Linked DNA regions of Ovis aries. The protein of the gene in region 1 interacts with the protein of each later gene in a pairwise test. Links are inferred from orthologs where the notes say so. Each region holds a gene or a part of one and is shown in the gene's direction. Other genes may lie near its edges.

Region 1 (3,924 bases):
AAGAGAAGAAAAATTTCATGTAAAGGATTTTTGCTGTCAAAAAGTAAAAATCACTCATGCACAAAACTACCTCCCAAAGACTTGTCCTGGATCCCTCGTATCGAAAAATTAAGAGTGTGATGGAAGATAGCACAGTCTTGTCAAATTGGACAAGTGGCAACAAACAAAAAATGACATACGACTTTTCATGTGAGCTCTACCGAATGTCTACATATTCAACTTTCCCCACCGGTGTTCCTGTCTCAGAAAGGAGTCTTGCTCGTGCTGGTTTTTATTATACTGGTGTGAATGACAAGGTCAAATGCTTCTGTTGTGGCCTGATGCTGGATAACTGGAAACAAGGAGACAATCCTATTGAGAAGCATAAACAACTGTATCCGAGCTGTAGCTTTGTTCAGAATCTAGTTTCTGTTACTAGTCTGGAATCCACTTCTAAGAATGCTTCTTCTCCAATGAGAAACAGTTTTACTCACTCATTATCACCCACTTTGGAACATGGTAGATCATTCAGTGGTTCTTATTCCAACCTTTCACCAAACCCTATTAATTCTCGAGCAGTCGAAGACTTTTCCCCACTGAGGACTAACCCCTACAGTTATGCCATGAGTACTGAAGAAGCGAGATTTCTTACTTATCAAATGTGGCCATTAACCTTTCTGTCACCGTCAGAATTGACAAGAGCTGGCTTTTATTATATAGGACCTGGAGACAGGGTAGCCTGTTTTGCCTGTGGTGGGACGCTAAATAACTGGGAACCAAAGGATGATGCTATGTTAGAACACCAGAGAAATTTTCCCAACTGTCCATTTTTGGAAAATTCTCTGGGAACGCTGAGGTTCAGCATTTCCAATTTGAGTATGCAGACACATGCAGCTCGCCTGAGAACATTTATGTACTGGCCATCTACTGTACCAGTTCAGCCCGAGCAGCTTGCAAGTGCTGGTTTCTATTATGTAGGTAAGAGAATGTATAGCTGTATGTTTTATCTAGTTCATTTTGATTAATATATTAGAACACGTGTGTATTCAGTTATTCTTGTGTTTTCTTTAGGTCGCAATGATGATGTCAAGTGCTTTTGTTGTGATGGTGGCTTAAGGTGTTGGGAATCTGGAGATGACCCATGGGTAGAACACGCCAAATGGTTTCCAAGGTAATTGTTTTGAAAGGTATTTGTATATACAACTCTGTGTGTAAAAGATGTAGGCATGTTTGTGTATTTTAAGTTTACATTTCAGTATAAGAAAGCTTCTTTATACCATTAGAGAATTAGCCTTTTAAGACACCAAATTGTAACAGTTATTTTGGTAGAAAAATGTAGAATATTCTGTGATTTTTTTCTTTTATAAACCATGTGTTCAGGATATAATTTAACTTATTCTTGATGCCTCATTCACAGTTGTGGCCATACATTACATTTATGTATTTTCCATTTTGTTTAAAGTATTATAAAAATATGTAAAGTAGAGCAAAAAGGCGATACATTAGGAAAAGATAAGGAAAAAGAAAAACAAGGGACATTAAATGAATCTAGGAATAGGACAAATATAAAAATGCATATAATAAAAACCTAATTGTATAATCAGTTTTAAGTGATTATAATTGTAAATTATTTTTTTCTGTACAGTTTTATCTTTTTGTGATATGTCATGTATCTCTCTTTAGTCACTCTGTTTCTACCAGTATGTCCTATTTTTTTTTTTACTATAGCCTGGAAAGAATTTAGAGGCAGTGCTGTGGGTGGAATGTTATTGAGTAGTTGTATGAACTTGGACAAGTCATGTGACCCCTTTGAGCCTTTCCTCATCTATAAAATGAGGAATTTGGAATAGGTAATACTGTCTTTTTAAAAAATTATAAAATGTACATAACATAAAATTTGCTATTTTATCCATTTTTAAGTATACAGTTTTGTGGCATTAAGTACATTCACCTTATTCCTCATTCATTACTACTGTCAATTTCCAAACATTTTTTATCTTCCCAAACTGAATCTTGTATTCATTTCATTAATTCCTTATATTCCCAGCCCCTGGCAACCACCATTCTACTTTCTGTCTCTGTGAATTCAACTATTTTAGGTACTTTATAAGAGTGGAATCATATCATATAGATAATGTTTCGACTGGTGAGTGACTTTCCTAATAATGAGGAATCTCTAAATTTTTTTTTTTTAGGAAAAATCATGTTTTATTGTCATAATTGTATTTATTTTTGGCGTCTCTGTGTGGCTTCTGGGATCTCAGTCCTTATTCAGGGATTGAACCTGGGCAACAGCAGTGAAAACACCAAGTCCTAACTACTGGACCACCAGGAAATTCCCAGTTGTCAGAATTTTAAATGACTTGATTGTCCTTGGCTCTACGAGATTGGCTTATTCTGTAATTTGGAATTTAATACTATATTAAAAAGACAAAAACAGCTTTCTGATTAACAGTGTTTCATTTGCTATAATTTTTCCTTTAGAAAACAAGACCAAACAAAATCTTGGTTTACTTCTGTAATTAGTGTTTTGCTTGAAATGGTTACATAAGGGAAAAGGCCAGAAGTACTTTTTGTAAACACTTCTGAAAACAACAAATTTCAATTGTGGATAGTCTTTCATCTCAGAAAATGAAAATCCAAAGTGGATAATCATTATCATTGTATTTTTAACACAGTTTATTTATTCACTTATTAAATATTTGTATGCCTACTAGCTACTATTTTACTTCTGTTATTTCTCTCTCTTTTTTAAAAATTATTATTTTTTCTTTTTTTAAAATTAATTTAATTTTATTTTTTTAATTTTAAAATCTTTAATTCTTACATGCGTTCCCAAACATGACCCCCCCTCCCACCTTCCTCCCCACAACATCTCTCTGGGTCATCCCCATGCACCAGCCCCAAGCATGCTGCACCCTACGTCAGACATGGACTGGCGATTCAATTCTTACATGATAGTATACATGTTAGAATTCCCATTCTCCCAAATCATCCCACCCTCTCCCTCTCCCTCTGATGTTATTTCTCTCTTAACATTTTTATTCATAATCATTCAAAAGAATTTCCTTTTTCATAATTACTAATATTTACACGACAGTGTGGAATCAAATGAAAAGTCAATCCAAAGCAAAACGAAGAAGAACCAAATTAAAGAGAAAGGCAAAAATTGTGGTACTGTTATTACATATGAGGTTGAAACTGGTAGATAAAGGCTGATTTTGCAGCAGACCAGTAAGAATACTGGGATCCTGTTGATTGAGCATGATAATTCATGATAGTCACAGCATTATCTGGTGGCAAGAGTCTTAGGAATAAGTAGTTAGAAGTAACAGTGGAAAATCATGATGATCTTTTTTTCCCCCTTCTAATATCATTTTTTAAAAATTGAAATACAGTTAACATACATAATATGTTTCAGGTGTGCTGTGTCCTGATTTGATGTTTGCATATATAATGTTGTTACCATGATAAGCCTAGTAACCATCTGCCCCTATACAGTTATTGCAATATTGTTGACCATATTAAAATTTTTTTTTTTCTTTGAAGTATAAAAATTGCTTTTGGCTTCCCTTGTGACTCAGACAGTAAAGAATCTGCCTGTAATGCAAGAGACCTGGGTTTGATCTCTGGGTGGGGAAGATCCCCTGGAGAAGGGAATGTCTGCCCACTCCAGGATTCTTGCCTGGAGAACTCTATGGACAGAGGAGCCTCGCGGGCTACAGTCCATGGAGTTCACAAAGACTCGGCCACGACTGAGCGACTAACACTTCAACAACAAAGTCATAATTGCTTCTAACCACATTGTTTTTGCTGTATGTATATTATGTCCCCATGGCTTATTTATTTTATCATTGAATTTTATATCTAAATCACTTTCACCTATTTCCCTATATGCTTGTGAATACTACTTTAGATGCTGGAGATATTAACAGTGAATAAGAT
Region 2 (3,924 bases), on another chromosome or scaffold:
TGTTAAACTGCACGTGTTCCACACCCTATGTTGCTTAGACTTTGCACTGCCTTTTCCTTGTGCCTTTTGAATGACCAAGATACCAACTTTCTAGGAAAGCGATGACCCCATGGCATATATCCACTTTACTGCTGAAGGAGAAGTTACCTTCAAGTCAATTTTATTCGTACCCACATCTGCCCCACGTGGTCTGTTTGATGAATATGGATCCAAGAAGAGCGATTACATTAAGGTGAATTTTTAAATAGTACAAACTGAGTTTAAAATTTGGAAGCATGATTTCCAGAAAGTGACCTTTGGTTTTTTTGGTCTCCACTTTAGCTGTATGTGCGCCGAGTATTCATCACAGACGATTTCCATGATATGATGCCCAAATACCTGAATTTTGTCAAGGGTGTTGTAAGTATCTGGAGGTTATTCGGGGAAGAGGGGAGTAGAGTGGGGGTCTGAAAGTGGGGTTTTTTTGGTCGGTTGGTTGATTTTGTTTTTCTCTGATGTTTGTATTGCCCACTGAACTTTTGCTGTCTGCAGGTGGACTCGGATGATCTCCCCTTGAATGTTTCCCGTGAGACTCTTCAGCAACATAAACTGCTTAAGGTGAGTGCCTTAAAAATGTTCAGACATAGAAGTTGAAAAAGTGTCCAGTGAGCACCCATATATATGTACCATCTGGTCTAAAGTTAGAATATAAACATGAAAGCAATCTTGTAACTGCTGCCACTGACAACTTAAGTTTCCATTCAGTCTGACACAGGAATACTTGGCCATCCCCTGCCCCCTTGATAAATACCAGTGTCTTTGTATCTTTCTCCACTACTCCCCTGCTACCTTATATAGTATAGGTTCTCTAAAGTTTGTGGTGAAGTTCTCTAATGAGTTATTCTATCGTTTTGTTTAGGTGATTAGAAAGAAGCTTGTCCGTAAAACTCTGGACATGATCAAAAAGATTGCTGATGAAAAATACAATGATACTTTTTGGAAAGAATTTGGTACCAACATCAAGCTTGGTGTGATAGAAGATCACTCAAATCGAACACGTCTTGCCAAACTTCTTAGATTCCAATCTTCTCATCATCCAAGTGACATGACTAGTCTAGACCAGTATGTGGAAAGAATGAAGGAGAAGCAGGACAAAATCTACTTCATGGCTGGGGCCAGCAGGAAAGAGGTGAGAAAACTTCGACTGGTCTGCTATGTAGCTAGGGATTGATTTATAGCCAACTCTTGAGAGAGAAAAAAAGGAAAATTTGTAAACTGAAAGAGTTCTGAGACCTGGTCAGTCACTGACAGGAAAAAAGTCATTTGTATTCTCTGCATCTCTTAATTCCCCACCCATAAAACGGGATTGTTGGTACTCTATTAACGTACCTACTTGGATGAAGAAAACATACTAAGCCCAAACTGGAAATTTGTGTTATTTCTTTCAATTTTGTAGGCCGAATCTTCTCCCTTTGTTGAGCGACTTCTGAAAAAGGGCTATGAAGTGATTTATCTCACAGAACCTGTGGATGAATACTGCATTCAGGCTCTTCCCGAATTCGATGGGAAGAGGTTCCAGAATGTTGCCAAAGAAGGAGTGAAGTTTGATGAAAGTGAGAAAAGTAAGGAGAGTCGTGAAGCAGTTGAGAAAGAATTTGAGCCTCTGCTAAACTGGATGAAAGATAAAGCCCTCAAGGACAAGGTATTCTAGAAATTAGAAACACTGAAAATTTTAGCGTCTGTGTATTGTTTTGTTAGCAAATTAAACTTTGTAACTGGTTACTTTTGTGGTCATTAAAAGTTATACAGAACACTTAATACTGTTACATTATTGGGAGGACAAGCTTAAAATTTAACTGAACAATTACAGGGATATGTGATTATTCTGTATGTAGGTAACTTTTTTTTCCTTTGTAACTGAAAGTTTTTCATAATTTAATATTGTTTTTACAATAGCTTAAAATTTTACAGGTTAAACTTAAGTTGTATATGTTTTTGAAAGTTTGTGTTTAAGTATTTGTGACTAAGAAATTCAGTTATGAAATGATAGTTTTCCTAAGAATCTGAATGAGAGGTACTTTTCTGATCTGCTTGTTTGTGATTTTAAGTGATGAGTCCTTAAGGAATTGAAATGCAATTACTTGACAACCTTTACTGTTGATATTTAGAGATAACTAACTTTCTCTTTCTCCTCCAAAGATCGAGAAGGCTGTGGTGTCTCAGCGCCTGACAGAATCTCCATGTGCTCTGGTAGCCAGCCAGTATGGGTGGTCTGGCAACATGGAAAGGATCATGAAAGCCCAGGCATACCAGACAGGCAAGGACATCTCAACCAAGTAAGCATCCTCAGGGAAGGCCCTGCCAGGATGTAAGCTCTCGCCCAGCCTCCCATTAGAAGATAACACAGCTTCTACACAAAGAACTAATGGGTTTTAAGTGTCTACCACCCTCCATTATAGAGAAGCTGACAATATGATTAGATTACTAAAGAAAAGGTTTTGCACTTGTGGTTTATATTTAGTATTTTGTATATAGATGGAAATTTTCTTATCTGTTACATATAATGTCTTTCAGCATTAGATTTTCTGCTTGGCCTAGTATCTGGACTGCCTTTACATTTTCAAATAATAGTTAAAGATGAAGTTAATGACAGTTACATTTCTTAAATGAGTTAAATCCTTTTTAATTACCCCTTCTACCCCCAAGTAGTATTCTCCACTAAATACAGGGTAGAAGATGCACAAACAGCAATTGAACTCAAGGACCAAGTACTGGAGGTACACTAGGTCTTTGGTACCCTTTATTTTTAAGAAATATGTATTTCAGGTTTATATTTGAACATAACAACAATAGTTTTGAAAATGACTTCTTCCTTGCTTTTATTCTCTCTTCAACCTGGACTATCTTCTTACTACCTACCTATTGTCACTTTTTTCCCCCAAGCATAGCTTAAGGATTCTTCTCCTAAGTGTAGGTTACATTGTCATAATTCTATCTAATAAACATTTGAGCACCTAATGTGTCTATTTACTGATGCTCTACAGTAAACATCACTACTCTCTTTTGCAATGTTCAGACTAGTCAGGATAGAGAAATCAAGGCATAATTCTGTAAGTCCTGTGTGTATGATAGGTATGCCAAGATATAGGGAGAAGGGTTCCTTCTGTCCTCAGCCTGCAGCTGTAGGAAGGAGGGCAGTCACGGAGGACAGCTAGGATGCTAACAATGATGAAGGTACACCCAAAATGTATTGCCGCCAAGCTTAGTGAAAAGATGCCATTTTTCTTGGAACCATATTGGTTGAGGCATCATGGAGAAGGTGTTACTTGAGCAGCACCCAGAGCCTGTTCTGTTCCAGAACTCTGGGGAGACACAGCTGCAGTTATGATAGTGAATACATTAAGAGGGGAAGAACAGGACATTAAATCAGTTCATCCACTCATCAAAAGGCACTTGGGATTCATTAGGAAATAAAGTAGTTCTTTATTGTACTATTTGATCTAACCATGTACATTGCCCTTTAAAAGGGAAAGCGTGATTTAACAATATATAAGCATGTCTTGATTTTTAAAAAGTTATCTGTAATTATATGTTATACTAGAATATGGGAAATGTATGGACCCTCAAATTTGATATATTAACGTTCATTTTTACTCTGTAACAGTTATTATGCCAGCCAGAAGAAAACATTTGAAATTAACCCCAGACACCCACTGATTAGAGACATGCTTCGAAGAGTTAAGGTGAGCAATATCACGGCCTTACTCCTTTTAATTTGACTTCTTTTGACCCTTTAGTATTAATAAAGTGTGTGACTCCTTTCATTTCAGGAAGATGAAGATGACAAAACTGTTTTGGATCTTGCTGTAGTTTTGTTTGAAACAGCAACACTGCGGTCAGGGTATCTTTTACCAGACACTAAGGCATATGGAGACAGAATAGAAA
Region 3 (3,924 bases), on another chromosome or scaffold:
GTTTGACAAAATGAAATCAATTAGTATTTTGTACAAAACATTAAAGGAACTGCTTCATTTCATTCTAGGTTCTTTTACCATCAAAAGTAGGTAAATATAAAGGAATAAATTATCTTTTCTCTCATAAAATATTTACTGTCTGCATGTTTTTAAGTGACTTCTGTTTCTGATGCTCTCTTTCCAACAAATCAATTTAGACATTTTCCACCTAAATAGCATTTTTTTCCGGCTTTTCAGATTGAACTCATTTGCCAGCAAAATAATATAATAGTATTGGAAGATACAGTAAAAAGGCTTGGATCTGTAAGTACATTTTTCATAAATAAATGTTAAGGAATCACTTTCATTCTGTTCGTAGGACTGCAAAAAATTATACATATGTTTTGGCTCTCATGTAATTTGTGAAAAATAAGAAGTGTTTTGTTTCTAAAATCAGCACTCTCCGTGGTGGACAAGGGTCCTCCCATCTGTAAGAACGAATCTGTTCTTGCTCCCTTTCCTTAGTCTGTCCTTTCTTAGAGCTGGAGAGAACTTTTGCTTGGTTTTATTAATGTCCTTAGCTGTTACTTGATTAAAATGATGTCTGTGAGTAATTTAATTCTCAAAATGTAAGCTGTATTTGTTTACACATTAACTCTCATCTCTCTTAATAATAAATATTTTAAAGTCAAATGTTGTTACTTAGTTCTGAGTAATATGTTCTCTTTAACAATGTGAAACGAAAGTCGCTCTGTTTAGGCATTTTAATGTTGTCGCTTAAAATATTTGAAACACCCTCTCTAAAAGTATGTCTGTACTTTTATCCCAATAAAGTATTGTTAAATAAATGTTGTAAAACAGATGCTTCTAAATATATTAAAGTGAATGGAAATGCACGAAAGTATATACAAACATAGAATATCCTGCATTCATTTAATTTATTCGGTTTATTTTGTTCAGTAAATTTATTAAATTAATCCAACATTTAATTAATTTATTTGTTGAACAGTTATTGAATAAAACTTGAAACTATAAATAGATGCTTTAATAGTAGCATACAAGTTTCTCTTAGCAAATTAATTTTATTTCTAGAACTTATAACTAGATCTCTTATAAGAAACAATTCTGGCCTCTGAAATTTTTTCTTCAAAATTATTGTGTCAACATAGGGACATTTTCAGTGAAATAAAAATACAGTACATTCAGAAATCCTGGAAAAGAAAGGCATCTAAATGCTTTTAATTTTTTTCTAACTGCTTTTTAGAAAGTATTGCTGAATTATTATTTTTTGAATTATTTCAAAATACCAAATTTATTATTTTTAAGGATCCTGTTTGCTTTCAACTTTCATTTAGAAAATGATAATATAGTTTAGCTTGAAATAATGGCCTAATTTTTTCCTCCTTGGCAAGATAATTTTAGAGACTGAAAAAGCACAAAATAAATCTCCTTCCAGACTTGATTCCTTTGTCAAAACTTTAGAAGCAGACAGAGATTACTACAAGAGTGAAGCTCAAAATTTGAGAAAGATGATCAGAAGTAGATCTAAAAGCCCACGACGCCCATCTCCATCTTCTCGGGTAGGTTTTTGGAAACTTGTAAATGTTTTGGAATTTGTTGCTGAAGCAGTGGATTTTATTTTTGATTCACCTAATCTGGAAATAATTCCTTTTAATTTGGCATGAATTGGTATCTCAAGGAAAATGGGAGATGGAGCTTTCTTTGGTGGCACCATGGACCATCAAAATTGGTCCTTTATCCCGAGCATTAGTAGTGGTTGGAGGGTAATCAGACAAATGTGGAGCAATTTGGGATGATGTTGTTTAAAAGAGAAGTGATTTTTAAATTTTTTTTTCATTATTTCATTATATAATCATGTTTGCTTAACCAGAAATTGTGTGCTGCCATCAGTAGGACATTTCTATTAGTGTGTGTGTGTGTGTGTGTGTGTGTGTTAGTTGCTCAGTTGTGTCCAACTCCTTGCAACCCCATGGACTATATTAATAACACATATCAAAGAAGAATTTCACATTTAAAAAAAAATTTTACTGAAGTATAGTTGATTTACAATGTTGTGTTTAATTTCAGTCTGTACAGCAAAGTAACTCAGTTATACATACATATTTTGCTTTTCGTTTTTTTTTTCATTATGGCTTATCATAGGATATTGAATGTAGTTTACCTGTGGTATACGGAAGGACCTTGTATTCAGATTTCTCATGTAATAATTATAGGGTACAAACTGTGATGTAGAGCTTCTGAAGACAACAAGAGACCGTGAAGAACTCAAATGCATGCTGGAAAAATATGAGCGTCATTTGGCAGAAATTCAGGGCAATGTCAAGGTTCTCACATCCGAGAGAGACAAGACCTTTCTTCTGTATGAGCAGGTAAGCTTACTTATACGTAAACAAGATATGTAAGTACTAGCATTCAGTTCTGCGTGCGTGTTTGTGCGTGCTCAGTCACTTCAGTTGTGTCCAACTCTTTGTGACCCTGTGGACAGTAGCCTGCTAGTCTCCTCTGTCCATGGGATTCTCCAAGCAAGAATACTGGACTGGGTTGCTATTCCCTCCTCCAGGGGATCTTCCTGACCCAGGGATCGAACCCATGTCTCTTATGTCTCCTGCATTGGCAGGTGGGTTCTTTACCATTCAGACCACCTGGGAAGCCAGCATTTAATTCCTAGAGATGGGTAAATTCTTTAAGTTCTGTGAGAATACTTAAATCTATTAATCAAATTAATCTAACATTTGGGAATTACCTTTGTTCTTATGATGTTCTTAATGAAATATGAAGTATTTGTGTATGTGTACACACACGTGTTGTCCTCTTATCCTAGAAAGATGATATACATGCATAGAAATAGCCTAATTTTTGGAATAAGAAATGAGAAAAGTAACCGGATACAGTGAGTTCATGGTGAAAAGATTTGGATTTGGAGGTTAAAAAATATTAACACATAGCTTGTGGTATACTGTCAATCACTTTAGGAATTGCCATAAAATTTGTCTAATTTCAGAGAGTAAAATCAATTTGTTGTTTATGTGTATTTTTAGCTTACGATTGTACAACCCTTATTAAACGAATAGCTTCTTTACTCAGTTAAACCCCATGTATCACCAACATAATTTTTTCAAAAATATCAAATTTTATTAAGAATTGCAACTACTAAGTGTAAGGTTCTGGGCTTGTTACTCTAAAAGATAGAAAGAATAAGACACTGTTTCCTATGTTTACATTCTAGGTAGGAAGAGAAGTATATTGTGTTGTATCTATTTTTTGTTATTTTAGCATAAGTAGTCTAGAAGATATTATAAGAAATAGAAGAGATAGGTATTTTTTAGTTATGGCAATTAAGATCTTTGCTGGACTATATGGAGTTTAAGTCCTGAAGGAAAGATGGGGTTTCTCTTATCTTGAAAGGGGTAAGAAGGAACATTCAAACTAAAGGAATGACCTAAAACAAAGGGTAAAGGCAGGAAAAACAGTATGTGAATGAATCCATTTATGACTAGAACAAAAGGTGTATGTCCATGGAGTGAGGTGGGAGCCAAGGCTAGAGAGGTGGATTGGACTAGAACAGAAGTTTTCAAACTTTCTGTGAAGGCCCAGGTAAAAAGCAGCCTGGGCCTTGCAGGCTATGTGACCTCTGACACAGCTATTCAGCTCTGTTGTTGTAGTGCCACAGCCCCAGTAGATACAAACAAGAGAACGAGTTTGTTCCTGTTATTCAGTCGCTCAGTTGTGTCTAACTTTTTGCAGCCCCATGGACTGCAGCATGCCAGGCTCCCCTGTGCTTCACTATCTCCCTGAGTCTGTTCAAACTCATGTCCGTTGAATCAGTGATGCCGTTCAACCATCTCATCTTATGTTGTCCCCTTCTCCTCCTGCCTTCAATCTTTCCCAGGATCAGGGACTTTCCCAGTGAGTAGGCTCTTTGCA
Region 4 (4,562 bases), on another chromosome or scaffold:
CTTCACTCAGTATGACACTCTCTGGGTCCATCCATGTTGCTGCAAATGGCATTATTTCATCCTTTTTAATTAGCCTCTTTACATTCCTGTTATCATTGCTCTATTTCACTATCATTTGATCCCCATGACTGAAAATGGTCTTCTGCACTTTGGTATCTCCACCTTGTCATATAAGACTTGATGCCACTCTTGTGATGGAAATCCTTTAGTGTCTTATAACCAAAGGTAAAATCCAAATACCTTAATTTGGGTGCTCATCTATTGTGTCAGCAGTATCTGTTGCCAGCCCCTTTGCATACCCTAAGCTACTGCCTTGAAATGATTCTCAATGCTTCCCAGGTGAGACAAACTCTCTGATGCTCCAGAGTCCTTGCAAGTTTTCCCTCTGCCTAGAATGTTGTTTTGGAGAGGGCAATGGCACATCACTCTGGTACTCTTGCCTGGAAAATCCCATGGACGGAGGAGCCTGGTGGGCTGCAGTCCATGGGGTCGCCAAGAGTCAGACACGACTGAACGACTTCACTTTCACTTTTCACTTTCATGCACTGGAGAAGGAAATGGCAGCCCACTCCAGTGTTCTTGCCTGGAGAATCCCAGAGACGGGGGAGCCTGGTGGGCTGCCGTCTATGGGTCGCACAGAGTCGGACACGACTGAAGTGACTTAGCAGCAGTTAGCAGAATGTTGTTTCCCTCATTTCTAGTTAGATGGACAATCAGTACTTACTCTTCAAATTCCAACTCATTTCCCCTGAAAGCCTGCGCTGTTTCCCTTAGACAGGGCTCCCTCCTCTTAACTTCAGTATCACTTTGAATATACTTGTGTTTGCATGGCTGCTGCTTCTCTAGATGTGGGCTCCTTGAGGGTAGGAGCTTGTCCTTTCCTGGTGATCACCTGGCATAGCACTTGGTATGTTGAGAATCAGACCGATCTACATGGGATTCTAAACCCAAGGCTATGTGACCTTGGTGTATTACTTAACTTCTCTGTGCCTCACGTTGCACTATCTGTAAAATAGTGCTAATGATGCTCAGCAGATTAATTATAAAGACTAAATAGCAAAACTCTTGTGAAGCTTCTGAAATATAGGTGGCACTTAGAATGGACATGATGCCTATATATATTTATTTATATATATTTGTTAAATGAACCCAGCAGAACTCAGGAAAGGTGTAATAATAATTATACACCGTCTAGGTGTCAAATACTGTCCTAGAAAGGGTTGTCATCTTTGTGGTCTAAATGGTAGTCTTAACTGTTGCTCTTTAAGGACAACGGTACTGAGCACCCAAACAGTGGGGCCTGTCATTTACCCGAGTCTTTGGTAAGGGCTCATTACAATGTCGCCCCCGTCCCTCGCTGATCTTAGCGCTAGAGCAAGATCAGGCGCCTTCAGCAAACCAACATGACTCCGGTGTACTCGACTCTGCTTGCTCTGCTGTGGTGGAGAGGAACCAGCACTCGGCCGGAGAGTGACCAGTTCTCAGCCCTGCTGGGTTCTCTTCCCACCAGCCGGCTGAGGTAGCCCCGCCCACCTCGCGCCCACTGGGGGCGGGGCTCAATACGTCGCGCTCTCGTCACTTCCAGCAGACCCGGAAGCGCCGTTGTCCCAGCCGCTAGAGTTAGGAAGTCGGGATGGAGCTACGCTCATCTTAAACCTTTGGCCTGTAGTGCGCCGGGGCCGGGCCGGTGCTGCTGTGGCTGGGTGAGCGGGGAGCGCGGAGCGGCTTCTGGGGCAGTGCGGGCGAGCCCTGGCAGTGTGCCCTTCTTGTGCCAGCGTCGCCCCGCCTCTAGGATAGGACCCGCCCCCGCCCTCCTGTCTGGGACCTGGCAAGCGTTTCTGCCCTGCTGCCCCGCCGCCCTGCATCCGGTCTCAAACAGCTGCTTGGAGCGGATGTGCGGCAGAGGGGGACAGCTATCTCCCCGTCGCATACAACCCCTGCTAGCATCTTCGTGACGCTCTCCCAGCCTGTCCAAACCCTGGCCTGGAGCAACCCGTCCTGAACCCTCATGGAGAAGTTTGGAATGAATTTCGGGGGCGGCCCAAGCAAGAAGGACCTGCTGGAGACCATTGAGACTCAGAAGAAGCAGCTCCTCCAGTACCAAACTCGTCTCAAGGATGTAGTCCTTGCCTATAAAAGTCTGCTGAAGGAGAAAGAGGCGCTGGAGGCCAGCATTAAGGTACTGTCTGTATCCCACGAGGCGGATGTAGGCCTCGCAGGTGTGCAGCCTCAAGGCCTCACCTTTCCTGACTCTGTGGATGACCGATGCTCCACTCACAGCGAGGATAGCACAGGGACCGCCGCCAGCCTGGATACTGCGGCCAGTATCACCAGCACCAAGGGTGAGTTTGGGGTAGAAGATGACAGACTGGCCCGTGGACCACCTCCTCCAAAGTTGGAAGAGGCCAGCGGGTCAGAGAGTGGCGTTAGCAGTAGTAGTGGGGACGGACCATCTGGGGGTGGGGAGGTGGACAAACGACTGCACCAGCTGAAGACTCAGTTGGCTACTTTGACCAGCTCTTTGGCTACAGTCACCCAGGAGAAGTCCCGCATGGAAGCTTCTTACCTGGCGGACAAAAAGAAGATGAAGCAGGACTTAGAGGATGCCAGTAAGAAAGCAGAGGAGGAGAGGGGCCGGCTGGAGGGAGAACTGAAGGGGCTGCAGGAACAGATAGCAGAAACCAAAGCCCGGCTTATCACGCAGCAACATGATCGGGCCCAAGAGCAGAGCGACCATGCCTTGATGCTGCGTGAGCTCCAGAAACTGCTGCAGGAGGAGAGGGCCCAGCGCCAGGACTTGGAGCTTCGGTTGGAAGAGACTCGGGAAGCTCTGGCCGGGCGGGCCTATGCAGCCGGTCAGATGGAAGGGTTTGAACTGCAGACCAAGCAACTGACCCGTGAGGTGGAAGAGCTGAAAGGTGAGCTTCAGGCTCTTCGAGATGAGAAGAATCAGCCTGACCCCCGGCTGAAGGAGCTTCAAGAAGAGGCTGCCTGCCTCAAGAGCCATTTCCAGGCTCAGTTGCAGCAGGAAATGAGAAAGGTAATTATCTTCATCTCTTTCAAACATGAGTCATTTAACTTAAAGTGGCTTCTCAGGTGGCTCAGTGGTAAAGAATCCATCTGCCAATGGAAGAGATTCTGGAGATATGGGTTTGATCCCTGGGTCAGGAAGATCCCCTGGAGTAGGAAGTTGCAACCCACTCCAGTATTCTTGCCTGGAAAACCACATAGACAGAGGAGCCTGGTAGGCTACAGTCCATAAGGAAGTAAAGAGTCAGACACGAGTCAGCACACACCACTTGTGACACATGGGGAAATATTAGTGTTTTTTTTTTTTTTCTCCTTTGACAGAACTAAGTGCCTGCACTGTTGGTTTTTTATGCGCTTCGAAAAGTTTCACTTGTGGGTCCTGAGAAATCCTTTTCTGTGTGGTGTTGACAGTATCCACAGAGTGCTTCCAACAGGATGTGGAGTTTCTGAGTGTAGTCTGAAGTTGGAGCTAGACAGATCTGAGTGTCAGGGCATGGCATCTTCCCAGCTGTGCTCTGTGAAGCAGTGTAGCAGCGGCTGTGCAGTGGAAGGTGGAGTGGGGGCTTATGGCAGTATGCCTATCTATGGGTAGCAGTGGATGCCTGTAGGTAGGGTGGCTGGAGGGGACAAAGGGAATTTTCATAGAAGAAATCACCTCTTCTATTGCTTGCAGTCAATATTTGCCATGTCTGGAAAGATAGGCTATTTTCCAGTGCCTCCTTTCAGCGTGGGGAGAGATCCAAGCCAACTCTGAACTTCCAGGAATGTTGGAAGAGGAAAAGAATGTAATATGGTGAACAGCACACTTACACGTGAGCTTGGTGTATGGGTGGAGAGAGTAGAAACACTAAAGCAGAACAGTAGCAGATCTCCAAAGACTCTTAATATCATTGGGTATAATGTGTGTCTGAGAGCAAGTTACAGGAGCTTGGGTTAGCTCCCAAACTCAGAAAGCTTCCCAGTTCCCATTTTTTTCCAGGCCACCTGCATCCCATAACCTTTTTGTCCTCCCTCTCTTGCTTTCTTAAAGTTGACCCTCCGACCCTGTGGCTTTTCTGGATGCATCTCCACCTGTTCCCTTGTTTTTTCAGACAGCCCTCGCTGAGGATCAGCTGCGCCAGCAGTCTCAGTTGGAAGAGCAGAGGGTGGCGGCCCTGGAGAATCAAATATCCCAGGTGTCGGAATTGCTGGGCACCTACGAGAAAGCCAAGCAGAAGGACCAGCTGGCCATCCAGAAGCTGAAGGAGCGCATTCTGCAGCTGGACCTGGAGAACAAAACCCTGGCTCTAGCGGCCTCCAGCCGGTCCCCCCTGGACAGCCATGGAGAGGAGTCCAGTCTGGATGTCAACGTCCTGAAGGACAAGATGGAGAAGCTGAAGAGGCTGCTGCAGGTGGCGGCCAGGAAGAGCCAGGTGACCCTGGATGTGGAGAAGCTCTGCGACCTGGAGATAATGCCCAGCTCCGAGGCTGCTGATGGGGAGAAGGCCACAGCGCTCTACTACCAGCAGGAGCTGAAACAGCTGAAGGAGGAA
Region 5 (4,687 bases), on another chromosome or scaffold:
TTGCTTCAAGATTATATCCCAGTGCCAGGTATTCAAAAGGTCCTCCCTAAACAAATATCAATGCCTATACTTGTCAAATGAAAGAATCAACATTCTCAATGAGAATTTCCTGGCTGTTCAGTGGTTAGGACTCTCCGACAGGGGTTCCATCCCTGGTCAGGGAACCAAGATCCCACAACCTGTGGGGCGCCGCCGAAAAAAAAGTAAAAAACCCAAAAAACATTCTAAAGGGATCATGAGATGTCTGCCTGCTCAGTCAGGAAGAACGATGTACTGTGAATGTTTCAGAGAATAGCAATGAAACCTGATGCCTTTCAATACCTTTGCCCTGAAAAGTGCTAAGTGCTGGCTTTCCGTTCTCGCTCCTAGTTGTTACAACTACCGCTCCATTGCCCCAGGCGACACAACACCACCTCTCTTCAGTCCTCTGACGAGGTACCAAATTTCTCTTCCACTGCCAAGGCGTTCCCTCGTTGGTTTGCGCGCCATGGCCTTCGAGAGGGCGGACATCTCCATAAGCCACGACTGGCCCAAGTCGACGTCGCTCTGCTGTGAGCTACTGAAAGTCAGCCAAGTCAAACTGATCTCGCGGGGAGGCACGGTCCTGTCGGAACCTGTGATTGGCTGAGACTAAGGGCCGGGCCGCGGGCGCGCCGCCTCGTGAAGCGTGGGTTGGTTGGAGCTGCCGTCAGTCAGCGGGAACAGACTTCCCCTCTCTATCTGACCTACTGCGGGTGAAAAATTCTCAAGAATTTCCAGCAGATTGAGCCAGTGGCTGTTCTAACTGCTTGCTTCAGAGATTGAAAACATCGGAGAAGGCAGTCTTATTTACAGAAAACCCCTCTCCTGCCCTCCATTAGCTAATTGAACATTTTCCAGGGATATTGCCATCACGAGGTAAGAGCTTGGAGAGTGCACTTCATTTATGTTAACCGTTTATAATATTATTTACAGGAGGGGGCACGTCCCATTGCTCCCCATCTGCGGAATGGAGAGTAAACGGATTTCCCAGGGAGAGGAGGGGAAATATCGGTTTAATTTCTCCAGCCCCTTCAGTGCATGCCCAGCGGTCACTGTCTGGGTTCGCTGTGCGCAGCTTTCTTCCGTCTCGAGGTCTGGAGCAGCATGTCGGGGCGGGGCCCACCTCGGCTGAGCCACCCGCTGCTGGCATTTTCTGCGGAGATTTTACGTTCCGCCTGAACTTGGCCGGAAGGCTGGAGGCTCTTGCCCGTGAATGTGCTGGACCGGGATGGAAGGAGGGAATGGAACTTGGAAGGAACGACGGCTGGCGTGCTGCAGTCCATAGGGTCGCAGAGTCAGATACGACTGAGCGACTGAATTGAACTGATGGAGGGGAGGAAGGGGCTCCCAGCCCACGCTTTCCTTCAGCGAAGCCTCGAGTCGCGGGCTGGAGGATGCTGCGAGCGTCAGCGCCTCCTCACCGCTGCAGCACGGGTCGGGTTGAGGGAGACGTGGCGACACCCGGAATCTGTACGCAGCGAGGGTGGTTGAGAGGCGGAGACCGGGCGGCGGAAAGTGCTGGAGGGAACCCAGCCATCAGTGGCTGCGCCCGCCTGAGGGTGTGCTTCCTGCCTTGTTTCGCCCTGGTCATGCATCTGTCACGGCCGGCCAGCCAAGCCCAGGATCCCAAACTGTCCAAGGGTGAGCTTTTCAGGGGATCGGAGCAGAGAAAGATGCAGAGCCCTGGTTGGTGTCGATCTGAGGACGTGGGTTTTGCTTTGCCAAAAGAGCGCTGTAATCTCAAGGCCTTCTGGCCCTTGATGACTTTTTTTTTAGCAGCCACTGTCTGTAGGTTAGAGATTTCACGGGAGATGACAAAGGCGAGACTCCGGGTGGCACTAGCCAGGGAATTTGGAGTATCTAAAGCTCCACCGGCCTTTCTGAGCTTCAGTCTGGAAATGTGCAGCAAGGCCTCTTCAGTCTTTTGCATCCCCTTTGCTTGTGCGGAGGAAAGAATGAGGTTGTCCGCCGTTTCAGAATGATTAATTAAGGTGACAGATTATAATGGTCTTGAAAGATAACAGTGGCGTCTTAGCCTAGGAAAAAAAATACTCCACTGTGTAATAAAATACATCAGTTATAATTTTTCAAGATTTTTTTTCTTGCAACCTTGCTGCTGCTGCTGCTGCTAAGTCACTTCAGTCGTGTCCGACTCTGTGCTACCCCATAGACGGCAGCCCTCCAGGCTCCCCCGTCCCTGGGATTCTCCAGGCAAGAAATACTGGAGTGGGTTGCCATTTCCTTCTTCAATGCATGAACGTGAAAAGTGAAAGTGAAGTTGCTCAGTCGTGTCTGACTCTTGGCGACCCCATGGACTGCAGCCCACCAGGCTCCTCCATCCATGGGATTTTCCAGGCAAGAGCACTGGAGTGGGGTGCCATTGCCTTGCAACCTTAGTCACTTTCTATTGACCACCAACTCAAGCACCTACTTGACTGGAGTCTTAAGAGGAAGGAAGAGGGGAAAGGTGTTAGTGATGTAGCATAGAATATAAAGGAAAATTCTCCTTTTAAAAAAAAAAAGACTAAATTTACTGAAAATTTAATGTATAGATGTCAACACTGTATTAGGTACTATAGAGGAAATGAAAAATACACACCTTATACTTGGTTGTTCTGGAAAATTCTTCTTAAATGAGGTTTGGAACATGGTTCTGTGAGTTGTATCCACGTTAACTGAAATGTTTTTAAAAATATTTATGGGATTAGAGTAATGAATACTTTTCATTGTTCCCTTGTTCTTTTCTCTGTTTGCACATCTAAACATATGTTCAGGTCAAACATAAGGGGAGTCATTCGGGGTTTCTCTTGTTGGTTTTGTTTTCTCCTTCATTTAGACTAGTACATTTTCTTTCCCTTCCTCCTAGCAGGGTACTGATAAAGAGGATACTGGAGACCAGAGGTTTCCATAATATTTGAATTTATTGGGATAAATTGTTTTTTTTTTTTTTTGTAGAGTCATTAAAGAAACATTTTAAGAATATTAAAATTACCTGTGTTTCCATTGTGGAAATTATTGATAATGAAGATACCTGAGTGCCGCTTTATAATCGGCAGATATGAATATGTCCTTAAACATTTTTGCTAGAAATATAAACCTAAGCAGGTTTGAGCAGTACTGATCCTTAGAACTCCTGAGTAATTTTGGCATGTGCTTAACATGACATCAATAAACTGCCCTTTTGACCTGCTTTCAGCAGTCAAGAGCAGTTTAACTCAAATCCCAAGTGCACCCTCCTGCCAGGGACCATGAGTGCCTCCCTATTCCAAAAATACATTTAGCCAGCTCTGAGGTATTTAAATCATTGCAGGATTATAAAATTGGAGTAAGATGAAAGTATAAAATTGGCATAGCAGTCTTGTAGTGGTATATGTGGCTTTTCTTCACCACTCAGTTCAGTTCAGTTCAGTCACTCAGTCGTGTCCGACTCTTTGCGACCCCATGAATTGCAGCACGCCAGGCCTCCCTGTCCATCACCAACTCCAGTTTACCCAAACTCATGTCCATTGAGTTGGTGATACCATCCAGCCATCTCATCCTCTGTTGTCCCCTTCTCCTCCTGCCCCCAATCGCTCCCAGCATCAGGGTCTTTTCCAATGAGTCAACTCTTTGCATGAGGTGGCCAAAGTATTGGAGTTTCAGCTTCAGCATCAGTCCTTCCAATGAACACTCAGTACTGATCTTTAGGATGGGCTGGTTGGATTTCCTACCGCTATTATTTTTAAACGAAGTGTATACCTCAGAAGTTTACCAAATGCATTTCCTACACTCTGGCTGTGGCTTTTTAACCAGCACTCTTTTGTGGAATCTCAATGTCTGCTCTTGTGGACTCTCAACTTATTTCATTTAACTCTCTTTTCTGAGAATCCCCCCTCCTAGTCAATATTATTAAATCAGGAGTCAACTTTGTTCAGTAGAGTTTTGTGTCAGAATCTGATACTTTAATCAGATTAACCAAAGCATGGATTCAGAGGAAGATGAAGGCCTGGTCAAACAAATGAATGTGAAAAAGGAAAGTGTTTTTGCTAGTAGAATATGGTGTGCCACGTAATGTGTTCTTGGGCTGTTGGTTCATTTAAATTTTGCTTTGACATTTTGTGTCTTCAAATGGCTTTCAAGCGGAATTACTTGTGCCCTTTGACTCTTTTGGGTTACTTTGACTTTCAAAGATTGTATATAACTGTTAAAAGGAAAATAAACTAGACTTGATCTCTGATTGAGAGACTGACATAAAGTGTTCCTGAATAACTATTTTTGGCTTGCACAATGACCAATGACACATGACATGTGACACATGACAATTTTTAATTCCTCAACTGACAATAAAAGATTTTTTAGGTATTTATCAATTTGTTCTCCGCTCTTTCTGTTATAAAGAACACTGATTTTTTTTTAAGACTTTTGTTTTTTTCCCCCACATTATAAATTCTACCTGCTAATCAGTGTCTAATCATTTCCATGGGCATCTGGAGAGCTAGGGGAGGGGAGTGGCAATAGCGGCTGATTGGTAGTTTGAAGCTCTGAAGGAAACTTCTTGATGTGTAAGTTTAATTCAGAGTTATTAATTAGCTTGGGAACAAAGTCCTCTTTGAACTGTTTCCTTGGGAACATGGAGATTAGTATGATGTTGTTATACTGCATTTAGCAAAGGAGATGGAACCACTTC
Region 6 (4,541 bases), on another chromosome or scaffold:
CAGTTCCTGATGACTCTGGGGGCCTGAAGGAGTGCTCTGAACAGACCTGAAGTCTGATTCCAGCGTGACATCTGGGCAAGTTTCCAGTCCGAGCCTGTTTGCAGCTATAAAATGAGGAGAGAGAAGCCTGCCAAATAAGATTCCTTCAAGCCTCTGAGTGAGGCAGCACTCAGTGCCGCCTCCTAACTTCTGTGACCGAGGACTAGAGAAGACAGGAGGGATGTGTGATGCAAGCGGTGGGGGGGGGGGGGGGGAGTGAAAAGGGACGATTATAACGGGAAGGTGATGCGAGCTATATCTGTACACTATGGCTGAAGCAGTGACAAGAATACAGAGAGGTGTAAATGCCAGGGTGGGAGATGAGAAGCAGGGAGAGTGGGAAGAAAGCCTGGGCCCAAAACGGAGTGTCCTTGTCCTGCCTGTCATGCTTTCTGGGATCTCAGCATGACAGTCAGCTTCTTGTACACACTTTCCCTTCTAAGATGGTGATCCACAGAGCCTTGCTGAGCTAGATATGGCAAGAGTAATAATAGCAGGTACCGTTATTGAGCCAGTCTGGGGAGTAGGTTCTCTCACAGCCACACTGTGCAGTGTTTCTGAGAAGAGTCCAGAGCCCAGGGGTTGGTTGGTAACCTGCGCCTCCGTCATTAACTGCTTTTGTACTCTGTCTCTCCAATGAGATGGTCAGCTATGGTGGAAGCAGATTGTTGTCTTTTGTCTCCCCTCCTGTCCTTAGCATGGTGCTCTGAATGTTGGTGTTTGGTAAACATTTAAGGAAAAATAAATGTATTATTCTGGAGCACAGCCTCTTCTGTTCATTAAGTGTTGCCACTGACCTAAATGTTCTTTCCAAGACAAGCATGGACGGCTCCTTGAGAGTGCTGACTTTGAGAGTCCTGTAGGACTGCTGCTTCCTGCCACAAAATAATTGGGCTAAAAAGATGTAAAATTATTAAATATAGGGCACTGGGGTTATTCCCATTTGACAGTTGAAGGTGAGGGTCAGAGAGATCACACCGCTTGTATATGGACTCCGGGTCCAGTGCTCCTTTCATTCCCCTGACTCGCCTCCTGGCCGACTGAGAGGCCAGGCTCTCACCATTTGAGGTGGGTTGAGGAGGGCTCCCCTTGCATCCTTCTGCGCTCCCATCCGGAGCATGTGCTGTGATTTCTGCTTGACCTGGTGAGTGCTGGCCGGCAGCGAGGGCATAAAGATAGCTGGGTGAGCAGGTCAGATGCTCCAAGAGGGAGGGGCCGACTGGCAAGCTCCTCTGGTGCCCGGCACTTTGCTGGGCACAGTTAAGGCCTATGTTACCCGGGAAGGAGGCATCCTCGCCCCCTTTTTCTACCCTGAAGCCGTCCTTCAGCCGAAAGCTGTTGGGAGTGGCGAGGAGGGCCAGGGGAGCCGGCTTTTCCCCCATCCTCAGCTTGAAGTTGGTGGGCTTGGGCCCGGACACCCCGAGGACGCCATGCCCACGTCGGGGCAGGAGGGCGGGCGTGGGGGGGGGGGTCGAGGGGGTCCCCGGCCCTGGCCCCAGCGGACTTGAGAGTCCGAGAGGGCGGGGCCGGGGCGGCAGCGAGCGCGCCGGGGGCGGGCTTCTCGGGGCGGGCTCCGCCCCCAGCGGCGCGGGTTTAAAAGGAGGGAAGGCACGCGCCGGGGACTGGAGCCAGCGCAAAGTGCACCTGAACCGAGGCGTCGCCCGTGCCCAGCCATGACCCTGCGGGCGAGGGGTGCTCGGCTGCTCGGCGGCCTCCTGCTCTTTGCTCTGCTCGCGGCCGGCGCCGCCCCGCTCGGCTGGGATCTCCCGGAGCCCCGCAGCCGGGCCAGCAAGATCCGAGTGCACCCGCGGGGCAACCTCTGGGCCACCGGTGAGTCTTCTGGGTTCCGGCGAGCGCTCCCCGCCCCTCCCACCTTCCTTCTCTGGCCTCTCCTAAACAGGGACACTAGTGTCCAGGCTAGTGGGGACCCTGGAACTCATCTAGTAAGATGGGGGAACTTGAGACCCAGACCCAGTGACTTGGTTTAAATCTTTCACTCAGCCGGTTTAAAGCAGAGCTGAGGCTGGACCCTAGAGCTACCTGCCAGCCTGTTTCTCTTCCCTTAGACAAGACTGTACTGAATCTTCCGACCTCTAGTGTGTCTTCTCTCTGCACCTCCACCTTACAGACACCTCCTGTCCTCACTTCTTTCTCTGCTGTTTCCCGTCTCTCTCCTAAGCAGACAGCACAACTGGCAGAGTTTCTTCCTGGCCCTTGGGGCCTCCCACCGCCCCTTCCAGCTGTGCCATCCCCGCCACCCACCTCTACCTGCTCCGGAAAAGCTGAGGTGCAGGTTTTGCCACCACTGGGGGTTCTTTGTGGTTTCTGGTGACCAGGAGGAGAAAGACTGTGTGTATATCTTCCTGCAAGGAGAACTGAGAAGCAGGAGAGATGGGGACTTGCCCACTGGGATAGCATCCTTGCTCCCTGACTTCCCTGTGCCTTGGCACTTCCTTTCTAGGTCACTTCATGGGCAAGAAGAGCCTGGAGCCCCCCAGCCCATCCCTACTGGGGACAGCTCCCCACACCTCCCTGAGGGACCAGATACCACAGCTGAGTCATCATCTGCTCAGGGTCCTCCTGCAAAAGCAAGCTCTGGGCATGAGCCTCAGTGTCCCAGCACCTCACACCCAGGTAAGCCAGGAGAACTCAGCCAGGGCTCCCCCTGGATCCTGCGTTGGGCGTAGGGTGTGAGTGCCCAGCCAGGGCAGGAGAGGCCCAGGAAAGCCAGGGATTCTAGGCTCTCCCTGTGATCCAGAGCTCAAAGTGGGAGGATTCCAAAAAAAGGGAGCTGACCTTCTCAGCAAACCCGAAGGGACAAAAAAAGTAGGGGAAGACGTTCCTCCTTACCCACTGCCCAGTCTAAAGGTGCAGCCTGGACTTATCCAGCTTCTTCCAGCAGGACCTTCCCACCCCACCCTCACCCTCTGGTCTATGCAGACTTGCCCCTCCCCTGCTGTCCACCTTTGCTGTGCCCTGTATGTGCTTATTGGGACCCTGGTGCCCACAGAAAGGATGAAGAGAGTGAGTCAGCAGCCAGGGCCAAGTCTGGACCTCTTTCACTTTGATCAGTGCTCTTCCCAGTTTCTCATCTGCCTCAGTGACCACTGGCAGGGTTTCTCAGCCCCAGCCCTCCTGCTCTTCTGGGCGGGACAGTCCTACATTGTGGGGGCTGTTCTGTGCATTGTAGGAAGCTTAGCAGCCTCCCTCTCTGCCCACAGTTATGACGACCAACAATGCTCCCAGACACTGCCCGAGGTCCCCTGCTGAGGGGTCATGGGAGGGAGCCAAAATTACCCTTGGTTGTAAACCACTGACCTATGGGGTTTGGGCTAGGGGGGCTTCCAGGTGGCGCTGGTGGTAAAGAACCTGCCTGCCAGTGCTAGAGATGGAAGAGATGTAGGTTCGAAGGTCCCGGAGGAGGGCATGGCAACCCACTCCAGTGTTCTTGCCTGGAGAATCCCATGGACAGAGGAGCCTGGCGGGGTCCATGGGGTCCCAGAGAGTCAGATACAACTGACGTGATTGAGCACACACAGAGGGTTCAAGGCTCCAGAGCTGGAGCCAAGCCAGCCTTTGTCTCCAGCCTGGCGGAGGGGCAGCTCATCCATTCTCTGCTCCTGGCACCTCCCCATCCCACAGACCTTCCCTGGTACTTTGTTGCTCTGTGAAGAAGGTATAATAAGGTATAGTAGAATGTGGACTCTGGTGACAGCATGCTGGGCTCATAATCCAGCTACTTGGTAGCTGTGGGACCTTAGAAATGTCATGTAGCCTCTCTAAGCCTCATCTTCCTCAACCCTAAAATGGGAATAATAGTGTCCCACTTCCCTTAAATGAGACCATTTATGTCACATGCTGAGCGTGACGCCTAATGCATAGAAAACATTTAGTAAACAGAAGCTGTTACCAGTCTGTGAGCTCCCTGGCTGTGCCGGTGGCTGACTTAACTGTGTGTCTCCCACTGTGCCTAGCATATACTGTGTACATTTTGAAAGAATGGAGGGACATTCCCTAAAGAAAGTTCATCCGCAGTCCCAGTCAACCTTGACCCTCCTGATGCACAGAACCACCAGCCTGGTACTCCTCTGGCAGTCCAGTGGTTGAGACTCTTTGCTTCCCCTGCATGGGACACGAGTTTGATCCCTGGCTGGGAAGCTAAGACCTCACATGCTGCACAGCCCCTAAAGACCTCAGGCGTAAGGGCTACGTACTCAGGCTGGCTGGGTCTGAAGGAAGATGATGGCCCCTCTGGGTCCACTGATCTTGAAGGCCTGAAACTTGAAGACCAACTCTAGAATCTCAGAGGCAGCAGTACCTAGCCCTGGGGGGTGGGACTTCAGAAGTGAGGTCTAGGGCGGAGCTGGAGGTTGGGGAGTCAGAACAGTGTCTGGCCCAGGGTCAGGCCTGGTGCTTCGACTTAATTTCTAGGATCTCCGTTGACTGTCATGACCACTCTGTGAGGTTGAGGAAACCCCTGCCCTGACCCCTCCCAGGCCCTT
Region 7 (4,605 bases), on another chromosome or scaffold:
TACTCTGTTATATGCAAAATCTCAGTTCACAGCTTTTCTCAAGTCCCCTGCCTCTGTCTCTCTAAATAGTGGTTCCCATCTACATTTCTGCTGTGCGAGCATGCCATTAGCAGCATCAATCTAAAAGGAGTCTGCTCCTTTTGACAAGAAACAAGGCATTTCTCCACTGTTTCTCAGAAATATGGAGTAAGTGCTCTGCCAGGACCTCTCCCCTCATTAGTTCAACAAATATTCACTGATCACCTCCGCCTTAGAGTGACCAAAACCAACAAGGTCCTTGGCTACCGTTCTATACCGGAGGCACAGGCGCCACGACTTTTTATAAGTATTTTATCTTTATTTATTTGGCTGCACTGGGTCTTGCAGTTATGGCATGCAGGATTTTTAGCTGCAGCATACGAACTCTTTAACTGCCGGCACGTGGGACCTAGTTCCCTGATCAGGGATGAAACCCAGGCCCCCTGCATTGGAAGCGCGGAGTCTCAGTCACTGGACCACCAGGGAAGTCCCAGAAAGATTTTTTTTTTAACGCAGTTTATTTAAAAATCAGAATTGGAGCAAAGAAACACGGGGCACCATAAAAGTCCCTGAAAGGGCAACTGATGTCTCTCTCCTCCTCCTTGAAAGTAGACCGTATTGAGAAGAAAGTCTTTCCCTTACAAACACAATTTTCTCCAGCTCCTGAGGGGAGAGGTCACACCCTTCTCCCGTATTCTCCAAGCGGCCTCCCCTGGGGATGGGCGGCAATTAAGTAACTACCTCGCTCTCTCCAAGTTTTCTCCCTCCCTTAGGGTCACAAAGGAGCTGCCTGGCTTTTCTTCTCCTAAGGAAGTGGAAGTTATTCCCTTGCATGTCCTGTCCAAGTGGTTCTCCCAGCCCTCGTCCTTTCTCTCACAGCCCTTCCTTCACTTCCTACAGGGACCTAAGGGAACCCCCTCTCTCTGAAGACTGCATAAACATTCCTATACCTCTTTCGAGAAAACTTTCAGGTGCTCCAGGTACTCACAGATCTAGCCAGCCCACGAGCCCCAAGCAGCCGCAGGAGCGGGAGGCCCGCCCGTCCCAAGCCTCGACTTGGTCTCCAAACCCTCGCCGCCGCAGCCGCCACCGCCATCTTGGCTGACCATCCCTCGGAGATCCGCCCCTCTCCTCGGCGAGACCGGGGCTGCCCCTTCATAAGCCTGACTCAAATGCCAGCAACACCCTGCCAAGAAACCATACGCTACTAGTTCTGCAGCCTCTGGGACACACATGTAGGTGCATAAAGCCACCTAACTTCCCAAAATTACTCTGACCGCCTCACGTTAGTTATTCCTGTAACCGGCAAAGAAGAGGACAACCCGTCCAGAGCCTCAGGGTTTCAGGGCCGGGGGCCTCGGGTAGGACGAGCTCATGCCAAGGCCCGCCCACTCTTCTCTTCTGTCCAATGGCTTTCCTGGACTTTCGAGGCGGGAGTGGGAGGGTCCAGATTGTTAGTAAACGCCGAGCCACGTGCGGGCGCCACTCCTGGAGCCCCCGGGTCGGCGCGTGCGTACAGCGTACGCACCTCGTACGCAAGCGCGCGCTTCTGGGAGGAAGCAACAAGCCCCGGCTGCACGTGGGCTCCGGGGCTATGGAGGGGGCAATGCAGACTGAATCGAAGATTCGGGCTGATTCTCGGACAGAGCCCGGCCCTAGGGGCCCCGGCTGTAGCCTCCGGCACTTTGCCTGCGAACAGAACTTGTTGTCCCGGCCTGATGGCTCTGCCTCTTTCCTGCAAGGTAGGAACTACTAGGTTGTATTATTTGGTGGGGCGGGGGGCGGTTACAATGTATCGCGCTAGCTGGTAAAAATCTCTCCTGAACTAGTGCAGTTCTTGCCTGGGTGGACACTACTGTATACGCAGGTAGACATATATCTCTCCCTCCAGACTAGCAAGGAGAAGATTGTTAAAGTACGCAGAATGGGAGAGGGCAGACCGCTTCTAAAGAATGAATACTCCAGAATAGGGGAAATATTCTTACCCCGGGGTCTCCCTTGACTGGATTCCTCTCCGGTTTCCCATACACGCACCCTGGGTCCATACATCCCAGGCTGAGGCAAACCTGTTTGTTTGCATAAATACCCAGTGGACTGTCAGATCACCACTTCTGGTGTACTCCCTAGCCCGGTGGCAGATCTTTTATCCAAATAGTTACTTCTCAGATGGATGGTGATGTCCCCAGCCCCACCTCTTGGGTAAATGTCCCTTTGGCTGGGATACACAACTCTGCTTATATCCCTAAGATTGGAGCAGTTCTTACCTATTAGGGAAATATCCCCTTTTCCTAGCTAAACAACTCTGAAACTAGACTCAGTTCCCTGACGCCTCTGAGGGAAATGTTCCTCTGGAGATAGGCCTAAGGGTCACCCCCATAAATGCTTCAGACCCTGCTCTAGGGCATTACCTGAAACCCAAATACAAAACCTGCTTTCATTCATTCTTTCATTGAACATGTACCTTTGCTTAGTATTGTTCTGGACACTGAGAATAAGTAAATAAATTTTTTAAAAATCCCTGCGGTAACGGATTTGACATTCTTACATTCTAGTCAGAGAGACAGGCAAAAGATAAGTAAAATATGTAGTAGAAAACAAGAAAAATACAGTAAGGGTGTAGATTGGGGTGTGCCAGAGAGGGTTGCAGTCTTAATTAGGATGGTCAGGAAAGGCATCAACTGAGATGGTACCTTTTGAATAAACACTTAAAGATGGGACTTTCCTGGTGATCCAGTGGCTAAGACTGAGCTCCCAATGCAGAGGGCCTGGGTTCAGTCCTTGGTAAGGGAACTAGATCCCACATGGTGCAACTAAGAGTTCGCATGCCCCAACTAAAGATCCTGCGTGTTGCAGTGAAGACCCAGTACAGCCAAATAAAAAAATTTTAAAGCAGTTTCTTTCCCTAAAATTGGCTTTTTGCAGGGGGAGCAAACCCTAAACAGATCAAGAGGAAAGCTTATGAAGCATTAGGAACCACAGGGCCCTGAGGCCAAAACTTGCCTGGTGTGTTTGAGGGACAGTCAGGGGGACGGGGTGCCTGCAGCGGTGACAGGAGGTGGGGTGGCGATAAGGAGACCTGCCCCTCATATAAAGTCTAGTGACTGAGAATGGAGACTTGTGACATGCTCTGAATATATATTTTTTTTATAGATTTTAGACTTTCTGGCTGCAGTGTTGATGGCAAAGGGCACGGGGGAAAGGAGAGGAGGGTGGTGCAGACCAGAGTGGAAGCAGTACAGGTGGTGAGAGTCTGAAGGCAAACTGATAAATTGCAGCTGGTTTGGTTTGGGGGTGTGACAGGGTCAGTTTTTTACCCAGACCAGCTGTGCTGGGAGACAATGAGTTCAGTTGGGAACATTACATTTGCAAGGCCTAATAGACTCTCCCATGGCAGTGTGGATTCGGCAGTCGGACATACAAGGCTGGAATTTGGGAGTCCTTTGGCAGTTCAAGCTACTGATTGGATAGAATCAACAAGAGAATCAATATAGGTGGAGAAGAGAACTTAGAACTTAGCCCTTTGCCTTCTAGCCTGGGTGGAGCTAGGAAAAGACATAGAGAAGGAGCAACTAGTAAGGTAGGAGAAAAACCAAGAGAGGGCAGCGACCTGGAGCCCAGAGAACGTGTCTGAAATGTAAGGACCAACCGTTTTGGTCCGGCTGAGAGACTGAATCGTGAGGATGGACTAGACCTGTGGGTTGACAACCTGGTTGTCTATTGTAGGTGGTGCAGCCAAGAGTCACTCTGGGACTTCCCTGGTTAAGATTCTGAGCTCGTAGTGCAGGGGACACAGGTTCGATCCCTGGTCCAGCAAGCTTCACATGCCTTGCATCACAGCTACTTGAGCCCACACACCCTAGAGCCTGTGCTCCACCACAAGAGAAGCCAGTGCAATAAGAAACCTACATATCACAACGAAGACCCAACGCACAGCCAAAAATAATAAGTAAAATGTAAAAAAGAAAAAGCTGTTCCGGTGGAGGGGTGGAGTCGAGGAAAAGAAAGAGACAGTGAGCAGAGACCGCTCTTCAGGAACTTTGCTGTAAAAGGATAAGATAGATGGGCGAGGAGTTAGATGGATGTGGGGTCCACAGGGGAGGGAATTGCTAGAGCCATGGCCTCAGGAAGATGAGAAGAGAGGCACTCTTGTGCCCAGGTGAAGCACAGACAGTGCCTTTGGAGTAACAGGAAGGAAGACCCCGGTGTGGATCTATTTCTGCTTGGACAATTTCCTCCTCCAGGGTCCATTCTCCTGGAGCCAAGAGAGCCCCTCAGTTGTATAGCAGCTCTTCCTCGCCAGCCCCAGAACAAAAAAGCCTCTGCCAGGGACCTCTCCAGGCTTAGATCTCTTGCTCAGTGCAGGTGCCTGGAGGTTCTTAGAATTTAAGAAATACTGAGCCCCTTGTGTGTTCTAAAAAAGAAAGAAATACTGAGCCCCTTGTATGTTCTAAAACCCCAAAGCCCAGGACCCTGGAGCAGGGTCCTCTGCAAACCCTCACTAGACTCTCCAGTGAGGTTAAAAATGCCAAGCCCCAGAACCCACCTATGCCAACTAAGGCTAGCCCTCTTTGTCCTTATTGATTAGTT

What was found.
Region 2: the proteins of BIRC2 (region 1) and HSP90B1 come close enough for resonance energy transfer, tested with the Homo sapiens proteins (2 studies listed by BioGRID). The link is inferred for Ovis aries from reciprocal best matches to the Homo sapiens genes BIRC2 and HSP90B1.
Region 3: the proteins of BIRC2 (region 1) and TSGA10 interact in binary tests that used the Homo sapiens proteins (3 or more experiments, as listed by UniProt). The two-hybrid records come from large-scale screens. The link is inferred for Ovis aries from reciprocal best matches to the Homo sapiens genes BIRC2 and TSGA10.
Region 4: the proteins of BIRC2 (region 1) and GCC1 interact in binary tests that used the Homo sapiens proteins (3 or more experiments, as listed by UniProt). The two-hybrid records come from large-scale screens. The link is inferred for Ovis aries from reciprocal best matches to the Homo sapiens genes BIRC2 and GCC1.
Region 5: the proteins of BIRC2 (region 1) and PPM1K interact in binary tests that used the Homo sapiens proteins (3 or more experiments, as listed by UniProt). The two-hybrid records come from large-scale screens. The link is inferred for Ovis aries from reciprocal best matches to the Homo sapiens genes BIRC2 and PPM1K.
Region 6: the proteins of BIRC2 (region 1) and NMB interact in binary tests that used the Homo sapiens proteins (3 or more experiments, as listed by UniProt). The two-hybrid records come from large-scale screens. The link is inferred for Ovis aries from reciprocal best matches to the Homo sapiens genes BIRC2 and NMB.
Region 7: the proteins of BIRC2 (region 1) and EXOSC5 interact in binary tests that used the Homo sapiens proteins (3 or more experiments, as listed by UniProt). The two-hybrid records come from large-scale screens. The link is inferred for Ovis aries from reciprocal best matches to the Homo sapiens genes BIRC2 and EXOSC5.

Annotation. Positions count from the first base shown.
Region 1 is NC_056068.1:6,039,763-6,043,686, reverse strand, and holds part of BIRC2 (baculoviral IAP repeat-containing protein 2), read left to right. Parts: 5' UTR 1-56; coding exon 57-957; intron 958-1,050; coding exon 1,051-1,150; intron 1,151-3,924. UniProt on the Homo sapiens protein: Multi-functional protein which regulates not only caspases and apoptosis, but also modulates inflammatory signaling and immunity, mitogenic kinase signaling, and cell proliferation, as well as cell invasion and metastasis.
Region 2 is NC_056056.1:173,219,273-173,223,196, forward strand, and holds part of HSP90B1 (endoplasmin), read left to right. Parts: intron 1-94; coding exon 95-232; intron 233-321; coding exon 322-399; intron 400-531; coding exon 532-597; intron 598-898; coding exon 899-1,168; intron 1,169-1,435; coding exon 1,436-1,681; intron 1,682-2,178; coding exon 2,179-2,315; intron 2,316-3,643; coding exon 3,644-3,722; intron 3,723-3,809; coding exon 3,810-3,924.
Region 3 is NC_056056.1:102,212,891-102,216,814, forward strand, and holds part of TSGA10 (testis-specific gene 10 protein), read left to right. Parts: intron 1-237; coding exon 238-303; intron 304-1,391; coding exon 1,392-1,559; intron 1,560-2,213; coding exon 2,214-2,369; intron 2,370-3,924. UniProt on the Homo sapiens protein: Plays a role in spermatogenesis. When overexpressed, prevents nuclear localization of HIF1A.
Region 4 is NC_056057.1:93,527,585-93,532,146, reverse strand, and holds the start of GCC1 (GRIP and coiled-coil domain-containing protein 1), read left to right. Parts: upstream 1-1,586; 5' UTR 1,587-2,008; coding exon 2,009-3,040; intron 3,041-4,121; coding exon 4,122-4,562. UniProt on the Homo sapiens protein: Probably involved in maintaining Golgi structure.
Region 5 is NC_056059.1:37,114,413-37,119,099, forward strand, and holds the start of PPM1K (protein phosphatase 1K, mitochondrial), read left to right. Parts: upstream 1-1,541; 5' UTR 1,542-1,610; coding exon 1,611-1,662; intron 1,663-4,687. UniProt on the Homo sapiens protein: Serine/threonine-protein phosphatase component of macronutrients metabolism.
Region 6 is NC_056071.1:21,629,124-21,633,664, reverse strand, and holds the start of NMB (neuromedin-B), read left to right. Parts: upstream 1-1,663; 5' UTR 1,664-1,712; coding exon 1,713-1,869; intron 1,870-2,500; coding exon 2,501-2,673; intron 2,674-4,470; exon of another isoform or gene 4,471-4,541. UniProt on the Homo sapiens protein: Stimulates smooth muscle contraction. Induces sighing by acting directly on the pre-Botzinger complex, a cluster of several thousand neurons in the ventrolateral medulla responsible for inspiration during respiratory activity.
Region 7 is NC_056067.1:50,092,760-50,097,364, reverse strand, and holds the start of EXOSC5 (exosome complex component RRP46), read left to right. Parts: upstream 1-1,425; 5' UTR 1,426-1,426; coding exon 1,427-1,760; intron 1,761-4,605. Other genes in the region: BCKDHA (2-oxoisovalerate dehydrogenase subunit alpha, mitochondrial), read right to left, coding at 1,007-1,114. UniProt on the Homo sapiens protein: Non-catalytic component of the RNA exosome complex which has 3'->5' exoribonuclease activity and participates in a multitude of cellular RNA processing and degradation events.